Danio rerio: one gene and its partners. The protein of the gene in region 4 interacts with the protein of the main gene of each other region in a pairwise test. Links are inferred from orthologs where the notes say so. Each region holds a gene or a part of one and is shown on either strand. Other genes may lie near its edges.

Region 1 (4,110 bases), on a different chromosome or scaffold from region 4:
ATCATGTAATTTCCGGTGTTTTAAATTTGTCGACTTTAACTGCAGTTTGGCACTTTCACTCAGGAACATTTCATGCATGCCTCCCCTGACAAATGAAATATTGGATGAGTATTTAATGCTGTAAGAGGGTCGTTTTATTGGAATTTGATAACGCACGCAGTATTGGAAACATAAACTCCACATTTCATGATGCAGGTGTCTGTGATTCCTCACTGACTCGGTAGGTACAGAGAATAGTGTCAAACAGCTGTGTGTATGAAATGTCCAGTCACAAAATGCAGCAAATCCCACATGATGGTAATAGTTTCATTCAAGGTGTTTACATGTCTACTGCAGTTTAGTAATGTGACTAAAATTGGCATACTCCATGTCTTAATCTTATTTGTTTAATTTGATAATGACCTTAATCAGATTAATTTATCGCTATTTGCATGGACTCTTAATCAGAATATTGTCTTAATCACGTTTACATAGACACCAATAAAGCAATTTTTATATACTCATTGTTCATCCTTCTCTTCTCCTTAAGTTTCATAAATGGTTCAGATGAAGAAATATTTTTAAGTTAATGTCCGGATGGCATTAAGCAAGTTTTGCATATTGAGATTTTGCTACAAAATGTTAACATGTACAAACTTGATGGATCAAAATTTTTGAATTTGTAGTGATTTGGGAATTATCTCAGATCTTGTACAAAGCGATTTATTTTTAAAATCTCTGTTTACCAATTTGCATATGGTGTCATAATATTAGCCACTATGAAATCTTAAAACTTGTGTGTGTGTGTGTATATTTATTTATACATATATATATATATATATATATATATATATATATATATATATATATATATATATATATATATATATATATATATATATATATATATATATATATATATATATATATATATATATAAGATAAAAACACAAAACAACACCAGCAAAATAAGAAAAGATCTTCATCTGTAGGGCTGGTCCATTTGGCCTAAAATCAAAATCTAAAACTAACCATTTAGAAAATTCAACAAATATTTTATTTATTTGCCCTCAAAGTTTTATGTGCTGTCTAAAGGCATTTCTGGCACAGCTTCCAATCCTCGTCAATGTAGTGCAAAGTAAGGCTCAAGAATGAGTCCATCGTCCTACTTGACCAAAGGTCATATTTGGCTACAGAAGTAGAAATTAGCCACAGCCTTTAACAAAGCAGGGTCACCTGACACGTAGGGAAAGTACTTGTGAAAATTGTCCTGGAAAAATTAGATCGATTATTAGTGAATGTTGATTTCGATTAATTGCCTAGCCCTATTCATCCATTTTACAGCACGTTATGCAAATCCTCACAACGCAAATTTTTTAAAAAATTCACTTAATTTTCTCACAATGCAAACAAATGAATAAAACGCACTGCATTTTCTTATAATGCAAACTTATGAAAATGAAAAATGAATTTCATCACTGCAATTTCTCACCGCACTATCAAAAAGCACAATTTTTTTGTGATCTTTTCTGAATTTGCTGGCATTTTTTTGTATTTGCATGCTTTTTTATTTTATTTAAGCTCTCTTTGCTACTGTAAGATGTGGCATGATGCCAGTTTTTTTTTTTTTTTTTTTTTGGAAAATCCTCTAACTGAAAAAAAAATTGGAACCAGTAACCAGTGTTTTTATTGACTGAAATCTTGTAGTGGTTTGGTCTAACGTTTCACGTTTATAATGCTTCTCTCTCTCACACAGGTGGAAAACATTTGAAATCGCCCATGTTAACTAATTTGAGAGAAGGGAATGGACAGAACAATTGAAAAGACTAACACTGGCTTCCTGGCCCCTTGTCTGTGAAACTTTCCTTTTGCAGAGGAGAAATTCACTCATTAATGGAAGGATAATTGAAGCTAATCTTCCTGCTTATAGCATCTGTGACCTGTTGCTTGAGTGACATTCATATTGAGATGTTCCACAAGAGACTTTTATATTGAGGAACAAGGAACTGGTAAAAAAATTTTGCTTGAACTTTTTTTTTTTTTTTTTTTTTGCTTTTGTGCGCTTTGGACACTGAGAAAGCTGTGGGAAGGACGACTTGCAAATTAATTTTTTTGCAAGACCATCAAGAGAAAGTATTATCTCCACTGTTGTTTGTCGCTCACTGTTTCAAGAGAGAATATTTAAGTCATGAGTACAGCCAGAATGGAGAACCCAGTGATTCTGGGACTGTCCAATCAGAACGGCCAAATGCGAGGTTCTGTGAAGCCAGCAGGGGGTCCCGGTGGAGGTGGAGGGGGGTCCCAAACAACACAGCCTGCCCAGGTCAAAGCCTCTAGCACAGTCAACAATGGCAACTCCCAGCCTGTACCCACAGCCAACACTATCATCAAGTAAGTCCTTGCAAATGCCGCTGTGTGCTGCTTTCTTAGAGATGATTTGGTATTTAACTTTTTCTTTCCCTTCCCATGTATCAGGCCTGGAGATGACTGGAAGAAGAATCTAAAGCTTCCTCCAAAAGATTTGCGAATGAAAACATCAGTAAGTCCCTCTGTAATTTTGTGTTTTTTATTTAATTTTATAAAGGCTGTGAACCACAATGCTTTTTTGATTTCTTTAACATTTCTAGAACACTCAATGATTGTGAATTTTGCAGGATGTGACGGCGACCAAGGGAAATGAGTTTGAAGATTATTGCCTAAAACGAGAGCTGCTTATGGGCATCTTTGAAATGGGCTGGGAGAAACCATCACCTATACAGGCAAGAGGCAAAATAAAGACACTGGAAATTTTAGATATGAATTACTATTATTTGAAGAGGGCAGTCTTGATCTTAAAGAGTCTTAACACTTATACCATGTGTAGAGCCTAGTTACTTTTTCATCAATGCAGTCCTAATATTTAAATGTAATTTTAATTTGTAACATTAAATCTATTAAAATAATCAGTTTTAATCAAGTTCTGATTTATTTTTACTTTTTTAGATTGTCTTAATTTAAATCAAATCATGTGCAAATTTAGTTTTTTTTATTTTTAAGTTGTCTTCTAGAATTTAATAAATTTATTGGCAGTAATTGGATAATCAAATGTAAGGGCGAAACAATGTTTAGTAAAATAATTATAAATTTTTATTTTTTGTATCCTGAGATTGTTGCAACCGATTTATTGTTGACTTAATTGTAAATGTACATCCATAGTAGTAATGGGACTTTCTAATTCACAATATTAATGTTAATTATTTATTTTTCAAATTTAATTATTTGAAATAAGTTTTTTTTTTTTTTTAAATAAAGCTCAACCAAATTTTAAGTTTGACTAAAGGCATTTTAACTGTGTGTGATTGTAACGATAGTGTTTATCGCATGAAACTGTGAAATGCTTGCACAGTGACTGTCTGATCAGTTCTGGAGATGATACATGTCCTCATAGTGAGACAGTGGATTCTTAAAGGGATATTCACCTAAAAATGAGAATTTGTCCAGTAACTTTTTTTTGAATCCAAAACAAACTTTGTTCATACGTTCATTGACAGAGAATGAGATCTGCATGCAAAAAAAAAAAAAAACTTCTCGAAATTGGCTTATTGCTGGTGAAAGAAACTTCTATAAATTTTCTAACCATTGGGACCACATTGTTTTTATCCATTGTAGAATCAGTCACTCCAGAATGACAAGTTCTTAATACCTGGAGAAGATCCTCCCACACGGTTCTATTTGTGAAAGCACTTTAAATTTTTTTTTAATTGTTGGATTTAATTTTGTGAGAATTGTTTTTTTCTTGTTTTTTTTTTTATTCAGTTCATTTTTTTAAAGCAGTTTTTTTACACTGATAATCTAAAAGTTGGAGAGTTTAGCAAATATAAATTGAAAAGCCTTATTATAATTTATGTCTCCAGAATACCTTTTTCTCGCTGTGAAAATAGCCATACGATCTGGCATTGTATTAAACAATCATTTGCTCATGTGGTTTTAAACCTTTTGAGTTCTGTTAGTCACCAAAGTAGATATTTAGGTAGCTGGCAATAACTGACTTCCATAGTCATTTATGGACATCATTGGTTGCCAACTATCAGTATTTCTCTATCTACATTTGTGTTCAACAGAAGAAAGAAACTCAAATGGGTTTTGAACCAA
Region 2 (4,884 bases), on a different chromosome or scaffold from region 4:
CTCAGCTGAGATCGTCCATGGTGGACCCAGCCATCAACTTATTTTTCCTCAAAATGAAGGCTGAACTGGAACAGACTAAAGACAAACTGGAGCAAGCCCAAAATGAACTGAGTGCCTGGAAATTTACACCTGATAGGTAAACTAAAATAACTCCCCCCTCCAAACAAAAAGTCAAGACTTTCCTGATTCACCCCCACCTTCTCCTCTGCAGGAGTGCAGATAATGGTGGGGGAAGACTGAAATGTGTTGCTCACAACGAGACTCAGACTTTAAAGCAAAAAAGCTCAGAACAAAAGACATTTTTCTTTTGTATTGCCCTGCTATTACACATACCGTAATGTAAAATCAGAACAGAACACGGCAGTTTGGTCAGGTGACACTTTTGTTTCAGCTCTTTCTCTCCCCCCCACACCCCTCATGGTACAGAAGCCTGAAGGAATCGGGACTGTTCCTGAAGAGGTGGTCACGTCGGAAACTCAGCCCGTGTTAGAAAGCTTCCTGTAACAAATAAGGCGGCCTATGAAAGACTTGAGCAAAGCGTTGGCTCTGGAGCTGGTTGAACTGTAGTTTGCAGGTCACTGATTGAACATTTAAAACATGACATGGCCCAACTAAATGTGTTGCAGAGGAAAATGCCCCCATATAAACTCCATCATAGATGCTTTGAGACTCTGGTTAAGAATCTAGAATGTAAAACAGGGAGGCGGGAATGTAGTGTGATGCAATGAAATGGGGGTGGAGTTAAGCAATCTTAAGACTTTGGGGGAGAAAGCCTTTATGATGTAAGACTTTGGGGGAGGAATCAGACATTCTGATCTGCAAAGACTTTCATATATGTTCATCTCACAGGTGCGACATACGGTACAGTGTCTTAAACCTTTTATCTTTTTTTGTGTTCGTAATATTATACTTTGTTTTTGCTCTGGAAACACTCCTTGCATTCACAGTAGAGTGGTCCAAACGAATTGAATTTATTTAAAATTGGCTGTTGCACTGCTGTGGATGCGAATATAATTGTTCTTTTCGATGTGAATGCAAATGTGCCATGTGTGATAGTAATATGTGTGAATAGTACAGCTATTCAATGTTCAAATGTCTGTGTATGATCATTTGTATTTTAACTTGTGTACCTTTCTAATCCACTTTTTATTTTTCGGTCATCCAGTGAAAGTTTAATTTTCTTTTTTTTTTTCTCTCAGGTCACAAATTTTTTGCAGGTATTTTGCTCATTAGAAATGTTCTAGCAAAATCTTACACTTCAACTTTGTTGGATTTCCTATCTGAGTGAATCAAAAGTAGTTGAAAATATTTAGTCAAAAGTCTTTTGAAATATTGACTGCTCTAAAGTGGCATAAAGAATTAAGCGGTTGTCATTGGAAGTTAGTTGTAGGATTCCCATAAAAGTTGCTGAATTGGTTTAAGGAAATTGTTTGTATTTGATTGTTGTTACATTTGATCTCAAACTGCTCTTAAATGTAAAATGTGAGCATTCGTTCTGAAGAGAGTTTAAGTCTTATTGTTTAAGGACAGTAGTGTTACTGCTGTATCTGGCAGAAAAGCACTCAAGTATATTCTAATACTAAAGAAAACATCAACATATCAGTATAATCTTTGCCAAGTTTTTTACTGGAAATAGGTTAAAGGTGCTGCTAATTTAAATGAAGCGCTCTGGCCATGCAACTTTATTGCATCTTTGTAATATTTTGCAGTGATAAGAAATTGATCTGCCTACTGTCAAGACTCTTTGTCATGTAGTATAGAACCAGTCATTTTTTTAATCAACTGATGCAGATATTGTTGGTAGCTCGTAGCTACTTTTAGATTAACAGGTAGGTACTAATAGTCACTGAAATGGAAATTGCTAATTGGTTTTGTACCATGGTCAATTACCTGGAGTACTATCCTGTTAGATGCGTTCAGATGTATTGCACTTGTTGGTTTACTTGATTTGGTCTGCCAAATGTTCATGCATCTTTTCCCAGTATTGTTTAAACTGTTACTTGATTTTCTTGATTGTTGTTGAGTATGTTTACATGCACACCAGGAAACTGCTTATTGCGAAAGATTTGTGAAAGTATCATTGTGCTGACATGTTTTGTCAAAGCAGCATATACCTGTGGCACGATTAGCATTTATTTGGCTGCCTGATCTTTTTCCATGCACTCTTCAAAAAGCTGCCTATGCATTTACATGACTACATAAGACACAATCTCTGCTAGCATTCTGCCAATGTTAAATCATGTTGACTTTCTTAAGAATACCAAGCTGTTTTCATTAGTGCTTGTAAACATACTCTAATGGTCAACTATATTTACCAGTCCGAAGACCAGTGTGGCCATTGGAGAGTTGGAAGCTATTTCTGGTTGTTACCTTCTAGTTTGTAAATGCAATGGTCACTTGTGTTGACCCTGTGGCCATGTTCACGATGTGATGTTAGACTTGTTTCCCTTGCAGCCAGACTGGTAAGAAGCTGATGGCGAAATGTCGCATGCTGATCCAGGAGAATCAGGAGTTGGGTAGGCAGCTTTCCCAAGGGCGCATAGCCCAGTTGGAGGCCGAGCTTGCCTTGCAGAAGAAGTACAGCGAAGAGCTCAAAAGCAGCCAAGATGGTGAGCGAAAGTCTTTCTTTGGTCAACTCCATTCTGGATTGTTTTGAGCAGATCTCCACTCATCTTTGTGTGTTCTCTTTTTTTACCCATGTATTTTTGTGGTCCAGAGCTGAATGACTTCATCATTCAGCTGGATGAGGAGGTGGAGGGCATGCAGAGCACCATCCTGGTTCTGCAGCAGCAGCTGAGGGAGACCAGGCAGCAGCTGTCTCAGATGAACCAAACCCAAGGCACTTCTAGTGGAGCTGGCCCAAGCAGAACTTCCCCTTCAACAGCCTCCGAACCTTCCACTCAGAGTGAACCAGCCAACGCCTCCAGTTCAAATGTGGGGAAAGACTGCGGAAGGGTGTCCAATGGACCCTCCAATGGGAACTCATCTCAGAGGGGTGCATCTGGCTCTAGTTTGTACAGGGAAGCAAGCAGTGCAGATGAAGATTACCCTCCATCACCCTCTGTCTCCAGCCCCACCCATGATGGCATATCAAAACTCTCCAACCACTCAGAAGATGCAGTGAGCCAGAGGGGTGGAGAAGGGTACGTGACTCAGCTAAGTGCAGGCTATGAGAGCGTGGACTCGCCTACAGGCAGTGAGACGTCAGTGACCCAGCACTCGAACGATACAGACTCCAATGCTGACTCCCACGAGGCCGCTGCTGTCCCCAAAGGCAGCAGGACTGCAGGTACGCGGCACAGCACTCAGAATGGCCTGGACTCATCTGCAGCAGCAGTTGCCACCAACACCTCCAATGCCTCTGCAGGGTCTGTTTTGTAACATTCTTCTAGTTTCTGTTCATTTTTTTTTTTTTTAAGTAACTCACAACAAATAAACAAAACAACCCGTCACACTTCAGGCCAGTTAGTTCTTGTTCAAGAAGTGGTCAAAAGCATCACTTTTGTTTTGTACCCTCCTTCCCATCATAACCTATTTCAGTACATTTGCTACATGCTCGAAACTGATTACGTTTATAAAATGAGCAACACTGCGTTTGTATATTTGATTTTTTTTAATGAGAGTTTTAAACCATTTTCCTCTGTCGAAGTGATATAAACACTCGGTTCTGTACTGTTCATTTGCTCACTTGCTAGAACTCTGAATGATTTAGCTATGTGTGATGTATCAATGCTCAAGTCTTGAAACTGCAAGTTCAGAGTCCTTAGTTTCCTGATGTTGAACTTTTTTTGTTCCTCTACATGACGAGAGAAAACGTTTTTGTTTGACTTGTGTGTAGTTTTTCAAGACGTATCTTGTTAAATTCTGATTTCGATCCTTTTCATGTACTGACCAAATATCAATAAAGAGTTTTAATATGACTCTGTTCTTGCTTTGTTTTTCTGCCTTGAATTGTCAAAATGATTGTCTAACAACATCAAGTTAATGAATTAAATAAAAGTTTGATGTTCTGCTGTAAAGTGACATTTTAATAAACAACTGATTTGTAGAGAAGATTGGGGTTTAGGTTTTAGTTAGCCGTCCACACCGTTAGATGGCGCTACCTCAAAATAAAACCAATGCATCCTACTTTTGTGTCCTGATGACGACAAAGCTTTCGTATTCGTTTATCAAATGAATGGGACACCGAGAAGTAGGACGTTCCGCAGTACAACCTGCATTCAGACAGAGTCAGCCTACCAAGCACATAACCAACCTACCGGACAGCAAAGATGAACACGGATGCGATTGTTATCGTTTCTGCCGCAAGGACTCCTATAGGTAAACTTAATCTCATATATCCTATCTTTATGGCTCTTTTCTCACAATACTAAGTAACGTTACATTCTACCTTTTAGCTGTTATCTGCAGCTTGTTTATGGGTTACAGTAGAAAGTTGTATGTCCTGTATGGTTAAGTTACATGAATGAAGAACAAAACAAGGTGATCTGCACGACGAATCTTGTTGAAGGAGACTGTTTGCCGTAGTAAATCGTATTTTTTTGTCACAGTTGTTGATTTGAATGATTGTGCTACACGGCTGTCTTGGACTGTCTCGCTATGGTGCAGAAGGAAAGTAAAGCCGCTCTTATTGGTTGCTCAGCGTTCTCTGCCGAGTATTCGTGCTCTGATTGGTTGCTCGGTCTTCTCCCTAGTGTTTATTATCCTCTGATTGGTCATGTTATTGTAGCACCATGGCCAGGTCAGTCGTCAAAACCTTCACAAATCCTTAAACACTATTAGATAGTATTCATTAAGTAAATAATCAACATTTTAAAAAAAATATATATATAATTTGCTTAATAATTAATACAAATATCTAAATATATCACAAATAAAGCATTA
Region 3 (4,541 bases), on a different chromosome or scaffold from region 4:
ATTATCCAGCCATTAATGCCATGTCATTTGTTCTGCAGGTGAACACACGATAAAGTGTTTGAAGAAGGAAGATCCAAACCCCGCGCCGGCACTCCGATAAGACCAACTGATCTGTCGCTGTCTGTAGATGTTACCTGGAGTAATTTAATTAAACATGTTTTTTTTGACACTGTATGTCTTGTCTTTGGTGTTATTTGTGCACATGTTTTTGTTTCTGTTAGGTTTATTGAGGGTTTACTGTGGTCGGTGCATCTCTGCATGTCAGCTTAATCTTATTAGCTAATCACCTTATCTGATCAGAATAGAGCATTGCTCCAGGGCCTGAGAAAGTCTGAAATCAAGAGCTGGACATTCACTCTTCTAATAAACAACCTTTGTTTTTATTTTAGAAATGCGCTAGAGTGTTTTAACCTAATTTGCTAAACTTGGTATTTCCCTGTAACGTGATTTTAACCAGTATTTGGTCTGCTTTTAAATTTATGTAAGTACATTTTTCTGAACTTTTGAATTAAAAAAGAAGCTTATTTTGGTATGAGGATACGCATAATATTAATGGTTGGGTTTATACATTTTGGTAAATGTAATTTTAATGAGTGTATAATTTTTATTAATTACAGGAAATCTTGTAGCAACAAAATTGAATGCTGGTATTTTAGGACATGGCTCATTTTAAGGGTGTGGTAAACAGTTTTATTTTATTAAAATATCTTTAGTCATCATTTTTTAAGAGTATGGCAAGTGGAATAGTCCAAAGTAGTACCATTTACAGCTAGCTGAAAACATTTTAAAAATATTTATGTATTTAAATATATGCTTTAAGTATGTGTTTATTGTTCAAAAAGCACCTGGAAACTAATACTTAAGATTACTAGTCGTGGAAAAATTAGGGTGCCATTTTAACAGCCAAAAAAACTATAGCCTACAATGTTTTTATTTATTTTTTAATTAATTTTTTTGTCTTGAAGTTTGGTGACTTCTAAATTTAGCCCAACCTTACGTACAAATGGTACAACAGTGGTCCTTTGGGTCAATTTTAACTAGCCAGATATAAGGCCATTTTTACACCACAAAGTCTACTGGCACACACGCATTCACACTTTAACAAACAATGAGAAACTGTTGCTTTATATAAACCTTTGTACACTTATCCAGGTGTCTTTTAGCATTGGTAAATATACCCTTCAGTCAGAAACGAGTGTTGCCCACTGACTAAACATTGATGAAACACTAATGAGGGGAAAACTAGACATTCACAGAGTTTGTGATGAAAATGAGGTAGTTTCTTCGTTTAAAATTTATTTAAGGATTGAAATGTAATTTATCTGATTTATTTTAGAGGTTTAGTAGTTTTTCACCGAAGGACGAATGGTGTATACAGAATTCCAAGACAACAGTAGGGTTAAAACGGAGAGAAATGTTTACATCCTTACTAGTTCTTTCAAATGCGCGCTCCCGCAGATTAGCGCCCCCGACGCTACGCGGTCGTCAAGGAGACGCGCTCCCGCTACGGTTCAGGGAGGAAGTCAGTCAGTCATTCGTTTATATCAAATCTACCGCTTTGGAAAGAGAAGCAGATATGAAGAAATCGCACCGTACAAATGTCTTGGTGACATCCTGTCTGAAGACCCCGGTGGACCCGCAAACCAAAGTGCCGTTAGCTCAGTACGAGCGGGAGCGGACACTGCCGCGCGCGGCCGCGATGACGGACAACAGGCACTATGAAAAAGAGGTGACTAAAAGCTATTAAACCGCAATAAATACAGTTCTAAAGTTATTTTAAAGGATGATGGTGATGTTTAACGTGTAAAAAGTCATTACATCAATGGAAATGTCTTTTCTTTTTTGGGATTGAAACTATTTTGAGGAGACAATGTTGCGAGGAGTTGTGTCCGTGAAGTTAACATGATAGACTGGTTAAACATCTCTTTAATGGATTAAGTGGAAACATTAACTTTAGTTTTAACTTGTGTAACTCCATGAAAATGGTTCAAAAATCATGTTTTGCTCGTTTAAAAGTAATAAGGACAAATCAATAGGCTTCACTGTGGTTATGAGTGTTTACATGGGTATAGCTAAATATAACTAAATAAACCTCAAAGGTTAATATGTTACATACGTAACGTTACTATTTTATTTATCTTTTTCTGCAATACACAACCTTATTTGTTAGCATGATGTAAGATGTAGAGTAATATAGTGTTGATAACATGACCAGGATGCTGATTAAACAGACAATCTCCTGTATGAATGGAGAACACAATCTGCCATCTGGTCCTAAAGCTGACACAGACCTGCAGATTAACAGATTACACACACACAGTCTTCTCATGTTGCACACATACAACTACTGACCGCACAAATGTTGTTCAGACTTAAATTTCACTATAGAAGAGTGTGACGTATGAAAACACAAGGCTTCAGCCAACAGTCCTTGGTTTCTTTGTATATATAAACACGTCTGTAACACCACTGTTTTCTCAGTCAAGGCTTCCTAAAGAATTACACAGATTAGGTTGCGTATTTAATAAATATATGAAAAGGTTTTAAAGGGATACTTCACCCAAAAATGAAAATTCAGCCTTCTTTTCCAAACCAATTTGAGTTTGTTTTCATGACCACGAAAGAAGACATTTCGAAGGATGTTGGAAACCAGTAATCATTGACGTCTATAATATTTGTTTTTCCTACTAAGGAAGTCAATGGTTACATGTTTTCAGCATTTTTCAAATTATCTTCTTTTGTGTTCAACAGAAGAAAGTCAAACTGGTTTGAAACAAGTCAACAGTAAGCACATATTTGGTCGTACTGTCTCTTTAATAATATAAAACCTATAGTTATCCATTGGCATTTTAACCTGTTTGGATGTATGCTAACAAATCCGCCTGTTATCATAGTGTGCATTTTACAATACATTTTAATTTTACATTTTACATACATTTTAACAGATGGAGTATGACTCTGGATCTGATTTGGTGGCTGATGACCCTCCTGCCAAAGACAACAATGCTCTGCTTATCAAAGACTACCGTGTGACGGGCGATCGCATCGACCTCAGGGAGTTTTACTTCTCAAACCAGGAGTACTACCGTAAACTAGAACAGCTGAAAACAGCTCACCTCCAAACAATGGCTGAACTCGAACTAATGTATCGCAAGAAACTCGACCTTAAAGGAGCGACTGCTGTGGACAACACTGAGCGGGCCAATCTGTGAGTTTATGTACATAATATATAAGCACAATAATAAGTGAAATGTTATCATATTTTAAATGTTTTATATTTGAATATATTTCGCATTATCATTTATTCCTGAGAGCAACACAATGGCTCAGTGGTTAGCACTGTCACCTCAAAGCAAGAAGGTTGCTGGTTCGAGGCCCAGCTGGGTCAGTTGGCATTTCTGTGTGGAGTTTGCAAACTAAATTGGCTATAGTGTATGTGTGTGAATGAGTGTGTATGGATGTTTCCCAGGACTGGGTTGCAGCTGGAAGATTATCCGCTGTGTTTAACAAATGCTGGTTAAGTTGGCACTTTATTCCGCTTTGATGTCCCCTGATAAATCAAGGGACTAAGCCAAAGGAAAATGAATGAATGAATGAATTTATTCCTGTGATGCAATGCTGAATTTGCGGCTAGTCTTCAGTGTCATGCGATCTATCAGAAATCATTGTAATGCTGTTTCACTGCTCAAGAAACATTTCTTACTATCAAAGACGTTAAAAAAGATAGATGCCGCTCAGAATTTTTATGAAAATTAGGGATTTTCTTTCATTTAAGTAGTAGCAGTTTTGGCTAAGTTTCTTCAAAAAATATTTAATTTGCCTACTAATTATTAATAATTAAAACTCCATTGTATTTAAATAACTTTTCTATTACTATATCTGAAAAATTATTTGATCACTACTAAAGTAACTGACTTAATACTACATAAAATTCCTATAAATCTTAATGAGTAGACAATAGAAAATTGAATCAGAGTCAAACTTTTACAAAATTAAAAGTAAAGCAGGTCAATAACTAACGTGAATTTTAGTTTACAAACAAAAAGTTTGAAGGTCAAAGGTTAAATGTGTCAAAACTAATTTTTTAATTAATAATTTTTTTAAGCATGATTGACATGTGTAACTATCTTTAGTTGAAAAACAGAGTTATACAGTTAACTATAGTTGCATTACTGAGAAAAAAAAATATTTCTTTGTTTTTCTCAATTGATTTCTACAATGAAAGTACAATACAAATACCTATAATTAATTAACCTAAAAATGAACAGTAATCCCTTACTTTTGTACAATTTTCAGTGTAAAAGTAGTTTAATTACAGTGACCATTCATTCATATTCCTTCGGCTTCATCCCTAAATTTATCAGAGGTCGCCCCAGCGGAAGGAACTGCCAACTTATCCAGCATATGTTTTACACAGCTGATGCCCTTCCAACCGCAACACACACTCATACACTCTCCTATGCACACACATATACTACAGCCAATTTATCTTATTCAATTTGCCTATAGTGCATGTGTTTGGACTTGTGGGGGAAACCGGA
Region 4 (3,621 bases):
TTCCAATATGTACTGCAATATTGTTCACAGTTGTGAACAGCTCTACCTAAAGGGAGTTTATGTTTGTTGTAAATAAGGGTGTGTTTATTCTTTTGCACAATGCTGTGAGTAAATTAGGATTGCAAAGAGCAAATGCAGTAAAATTGTGAAACATACATATTCAGTGTCTTGTACTTAGATACCTCACTCAGTGCAGTGATGTCTAACTTTACTGTAGTGTTCAAATGGCTGTGCTAATAGTATATATAGTGCTGTCTTAAGCATTTTCATGACGTGTCACCAAAATCTAACTTTTTTTGCATTGAAAAAATGTACAGAGTAAACTGTCATAATGAAGACATGACATTTGACTAATGAAAAGCCATTTGACTATCTTGTTCATAAACAATGGTGTCAGGACTTTTCATTTTGACAGCTAGGTTTCGCAGTTTGCACTAATTGTTTTGAAAAATGCATTAACTGTTGTGCAAATGTAAGTGTAGTGAGAAATGCACCAAAGCGACTGAGAAAAACTGTAATATGCTGCATTTTTTTTTCAAAAGATGTATTTTTTTTATTATTTTAAATTAAATACAACAATAATGCATCCATAAAGAACTTTTCAGTGAAAAACAAAAGACAGGTCAATGTTTACTTTCTGATTGGTTAAATATGTGATTATATGCAGATCATACACAAATTAAAATAAAAAAAACAATAAATAAAATATTTAGTGAAGTTGCAAGTACATTTACAAATTAAACAGCTAGAAACCAAATTGCATTGGAGAAAAACTAATCAAATGCACCTAATGAAAAATACCATAATCAGCTTAAAACAAGATACTGAATGATTCTTAATAATATCAAAAAGAAAGAAAGTACTCCAAGTGGAAACAAAAATTAACCCACACTTCTGTTTAAGAAAAAGGTCACCCAAAAATAAAAATTCTTTCAACTGCCTCTCATGTACTTTACCTCAATTTGTTCCAAACCTGTTTCTTTTTTTGAAAACTGGTAGCCATTGACTTCCATAGTATATAATTAACTTTAAAAGTCAATGTTTACTGGTTTCCAGTGTGCCTTAAAATTTATGTTCCTTAATTATTAAATTGTTGTCTCACAGCAAGAATGTTGCTGGTTCGCCAGCTGGGCCAGCAGGCATTTCTGTTTTCATGTTATCCCTGGGTTCGTGTAATTATCTTCTGGACACTCCGGTTACCCCACACAGCCCAAAGACATGCGGTAGAGGTAAATGGAATAAACTAAAATGGTCGTAGTTTACAATGTGTTAGAATGCGTGTGTATGGGTCTTTCCCTGTAAATCATATGCTGGAATAATTGGTAGTTTATTTTGCTGTGGTGACCTCTGAAGAAGAGACTAAGCCAAAAAAAAAAAAAAAAGAATGAATGTTTGAACTATCCCTTTAAATATGTCAATAGATTTTCTGAAAGCTGTTTATTTATTTTATTTTTTGTAAAGTTTTTCTTCCTTAAGTGTTGCATTCAAAAGTTTGGTTTGTGTTTCTTGACTTCCACCATCAGATGATGAAGGTTTATGAGCTCAGAGCGCACTGCCAGACTGCGGAATGTTGGCTGGGAGAGGACCTTATGGAAACCATGATAGTACTGGATGAGCTGGGTCAGCGCTCCCTAGTGAACACAACCATAATGATTTCAAATTTGTTACAGCACATTGTAAATAGATAAAGAAAACCATTAGGACAAAAATTGTCCCAAAACTTTAAGTTGCCATTATGTTGTACCTGAATTATGCTGGTTCCGTTTTTAAAGTTGGTGAAGGAGCGCATAACATCCTGACTCAGGGCCTCCACAGACTGCTTCCATGTGCCGGAGAATCCCCGCACCAACTGAGTAATACGAGCTGACAAATAGACACAGGAAGATAAAGCGTATAACACACACACACACACACACACACACACACACACACACACACACACACACACACACACACACACACACACACACACACACACACACACACACACACACACACACACACACATATATATATATTACAGAAATAGTACTACGAGAAACTTTTGGTTTTAACAAATAGAACAAATAGAAGCTGCAATTTTATTAAGAAAAATATAAATAAATAAATAATCCATTGAATAAAAATAAATCATAAAATATGCAATACTGTGAGAAATGATCTTTGCTACAGTTGCTAATAATGCTAAATGTAAAAATCTAATATTATAATTTAAACAACACATTGTATTTATTTTTTTGTCTCATTTTCAATGTATGATCGAGTAATTCACTCATAAAACGTCAAGTTTCATTACTATGTGTATAATTTCTGAAGAATTATTTAGTGGCAAATTTTGATGGCTGAATCTACCTGCTGGTGAAATAATGCAATTGGTGCTACAACTTTTATTTTTGAACGTCAAGTTAAAAGCACTGTCATTTAAACAGTGTTTAATTTAATAATTTAATCCTTACCGTAAACACCAGTGTTTATATGTAAACTAGAAACTATTATCCCAGTATTTACTGTTCAACACTATCATTTATAATTTATGTTGGGTGTTATATTAAATTGTTAAATTGTGTTATATCTCAATAATCACATTAATCACATTTTGAGGTGACATGGGTGTCACACATCTGTGAAGGTTTCACAGCTAGAAGTACAGTGTCCTTTGGTGATTTGTATCACTATTCACTCGCCATACACATTAGCCAAATGAACCAAACTCTGATGTCAAATAAACCCAGATGAGCACCAACCACAAGAGCTAGTGTGAAAGTACACTAAAAGATGAACATAGAGCTGGGCAATATGGCAAAAAAAATTATCACGATTATTTTTTTTGTATCAGTCGATGTCGATATTTATCACGATAAACGTAAAATCTTTATATCTATCCATTTTACAAGATTTTCAGTATGCCAAATGCTCTGTGCAGCTGATTTAACACATTAAGTTAAATGTTTTAGCTGTCTGACAATATAAATAATACAATAATAAACAAAAGAACAATCTTAATTCAGCATTTACAGTTCAAGTTTTCAACAACCAAAGACATTACCTACAAGTTATTGGATATTATTGTTTAACATCAGAAAAAAATAAAAATAAAACCGGTTTGGAACAACCCGGTTTGGAAGTAAAGGTGAGTTAATGGTCACAGAATTTTCAGTTTTCACATTTTAGTACAGTCAGGATACCCGAGTAAACAACAACAATTAAATAAATACCTCCAATATAGACCAATCAGAAAAAACTATTATCTTTAGTGCAGCCATCTTAACTAAGTAAACTAAAGTTAAATAAATAACTGCAGTGTAGACTAGTGAAAGATAAACAGGCTTGTCCTGTCTAAGGACATTTGGAATATTTAAATAAGTTTTAAGTTCTTCTTCAAGAACAGCACAATGTCCACATTCTCAGATGAGAGGCTTGATCTCTGTGCATACATACAGACATAGTGATGCTCATTTTTGATTAAGTTTTCATTTAGATAGATAGGTTTCTGTTTAAATTAATGAAAAATATACATATACTGTGTTTGCACAGTGTTTTTACATGACATATTCAGCAGTAAAATGCATTGCAGTTTTGTCTGAAACTAATGTTACGGTTGTAGCCGTAAAGGTTGTATTT

The links.
Region 1: the proteins of vps52 (region 4) and ddx6 interact in binary tests that used the Homo sapiens proteins (3 or more experiments, as listed by UniProt). The two-hybrid records come from large-scale screens. The link is inferred for Danio rerio from reciprocal best matches to the Homo sapiens genes VPS52 and DDX6.
Region 2: the proteins of vps52 (region 4) and wtap interact in binary tests that used the Homo sapiens proteins (3 or more experiments, as listed by UniProt). The two-hybrid records come from large-scale screens. The link is inferred for Danio rerio from reciprocal best matches to the Homo sapiens genes VPS52 and WTAP.
Region 3: the proteins of vps52 (region 4) and fam161a interact in binary tests that used the Homo sapiens proteins (3 or more experiments, as listed by UniProt). The link is inferred for Danio rerio from reciprocal best matches to the Homo sapiens genes VPS52 and FAM161A.

What each region holds. Positions count from the first base shown.
Region 1 is NC_133193.1:46,835,483-46,839,592, reverse strand, and holds part of ddx6 (probable ATP-dependent RNA helicase DDX6), read left to right. Parts: intron 1-1,735; 5' UTR 1,736-2,167; coding exon 2,168-2,370; intron 2,371-2,454; coding exon 2,455-2,518; intron 2,519-2,633; coding exon 2,634-2,738; intron 2,739-4,110.
Region 2 is NC_133195.1:33,717,054-33,721,937, reverse strand, and holds the end of wtap (pre-mRNA-splicing regulator WTAP), read left to right. Parts: coding exon 1-136; exon of another isoform or gene 137-861; intron 862-2,454; coding exon 2,455-2,609; intron 2,610-2,716; coding exon 2,717-3,381; 3' UTR 3,382-3,920; downstream 3,921-4,884. UniProt on the Homo sapiens protein: Associated component of the WMM complex, a complex that mediates N6-methyladenosine (m6A) methylation of RNAs, a modification that plays a role in the efficiency of mRNA splicing and RNA processing.
Region 3 is NC_133176.1:57,142,870-57,147,410, reverse strand, and holds the start of fam161a (protein FAM161A), read left to right. Parts: upstream 1-1,484; 5' UTR 1,485-1,576; coding exon 1,577-1,729; intron 1,730-2,945; coding exon 2,946-3,208; intron 3,209-4,541. Other genes in the region: cct4 (T-complex protein 1 subunit delta), read left to right, coding at 39-53. UniProt on the Homo sapiens protein: Involved in ciliogenesis.
Region 4 is NC_133194.1:20,898,994-20,902,614, reverse strand, and holds the end of vps52 (vacuolar protein sorting-associated protein 52 homolog), read right to left. Parts: intron 1,864-3,621; coding exon 1,745-1,863; intron 1,632-1,744; coding exon 1,485-1,631; 3' UTR 618-1,484; downstream 1-617. UniProt on the Homo sapiens protein: Acts as a component of the GARP complex that is involved in retrograde transport from early and late endosomes to the trans-Golgi network (TGN).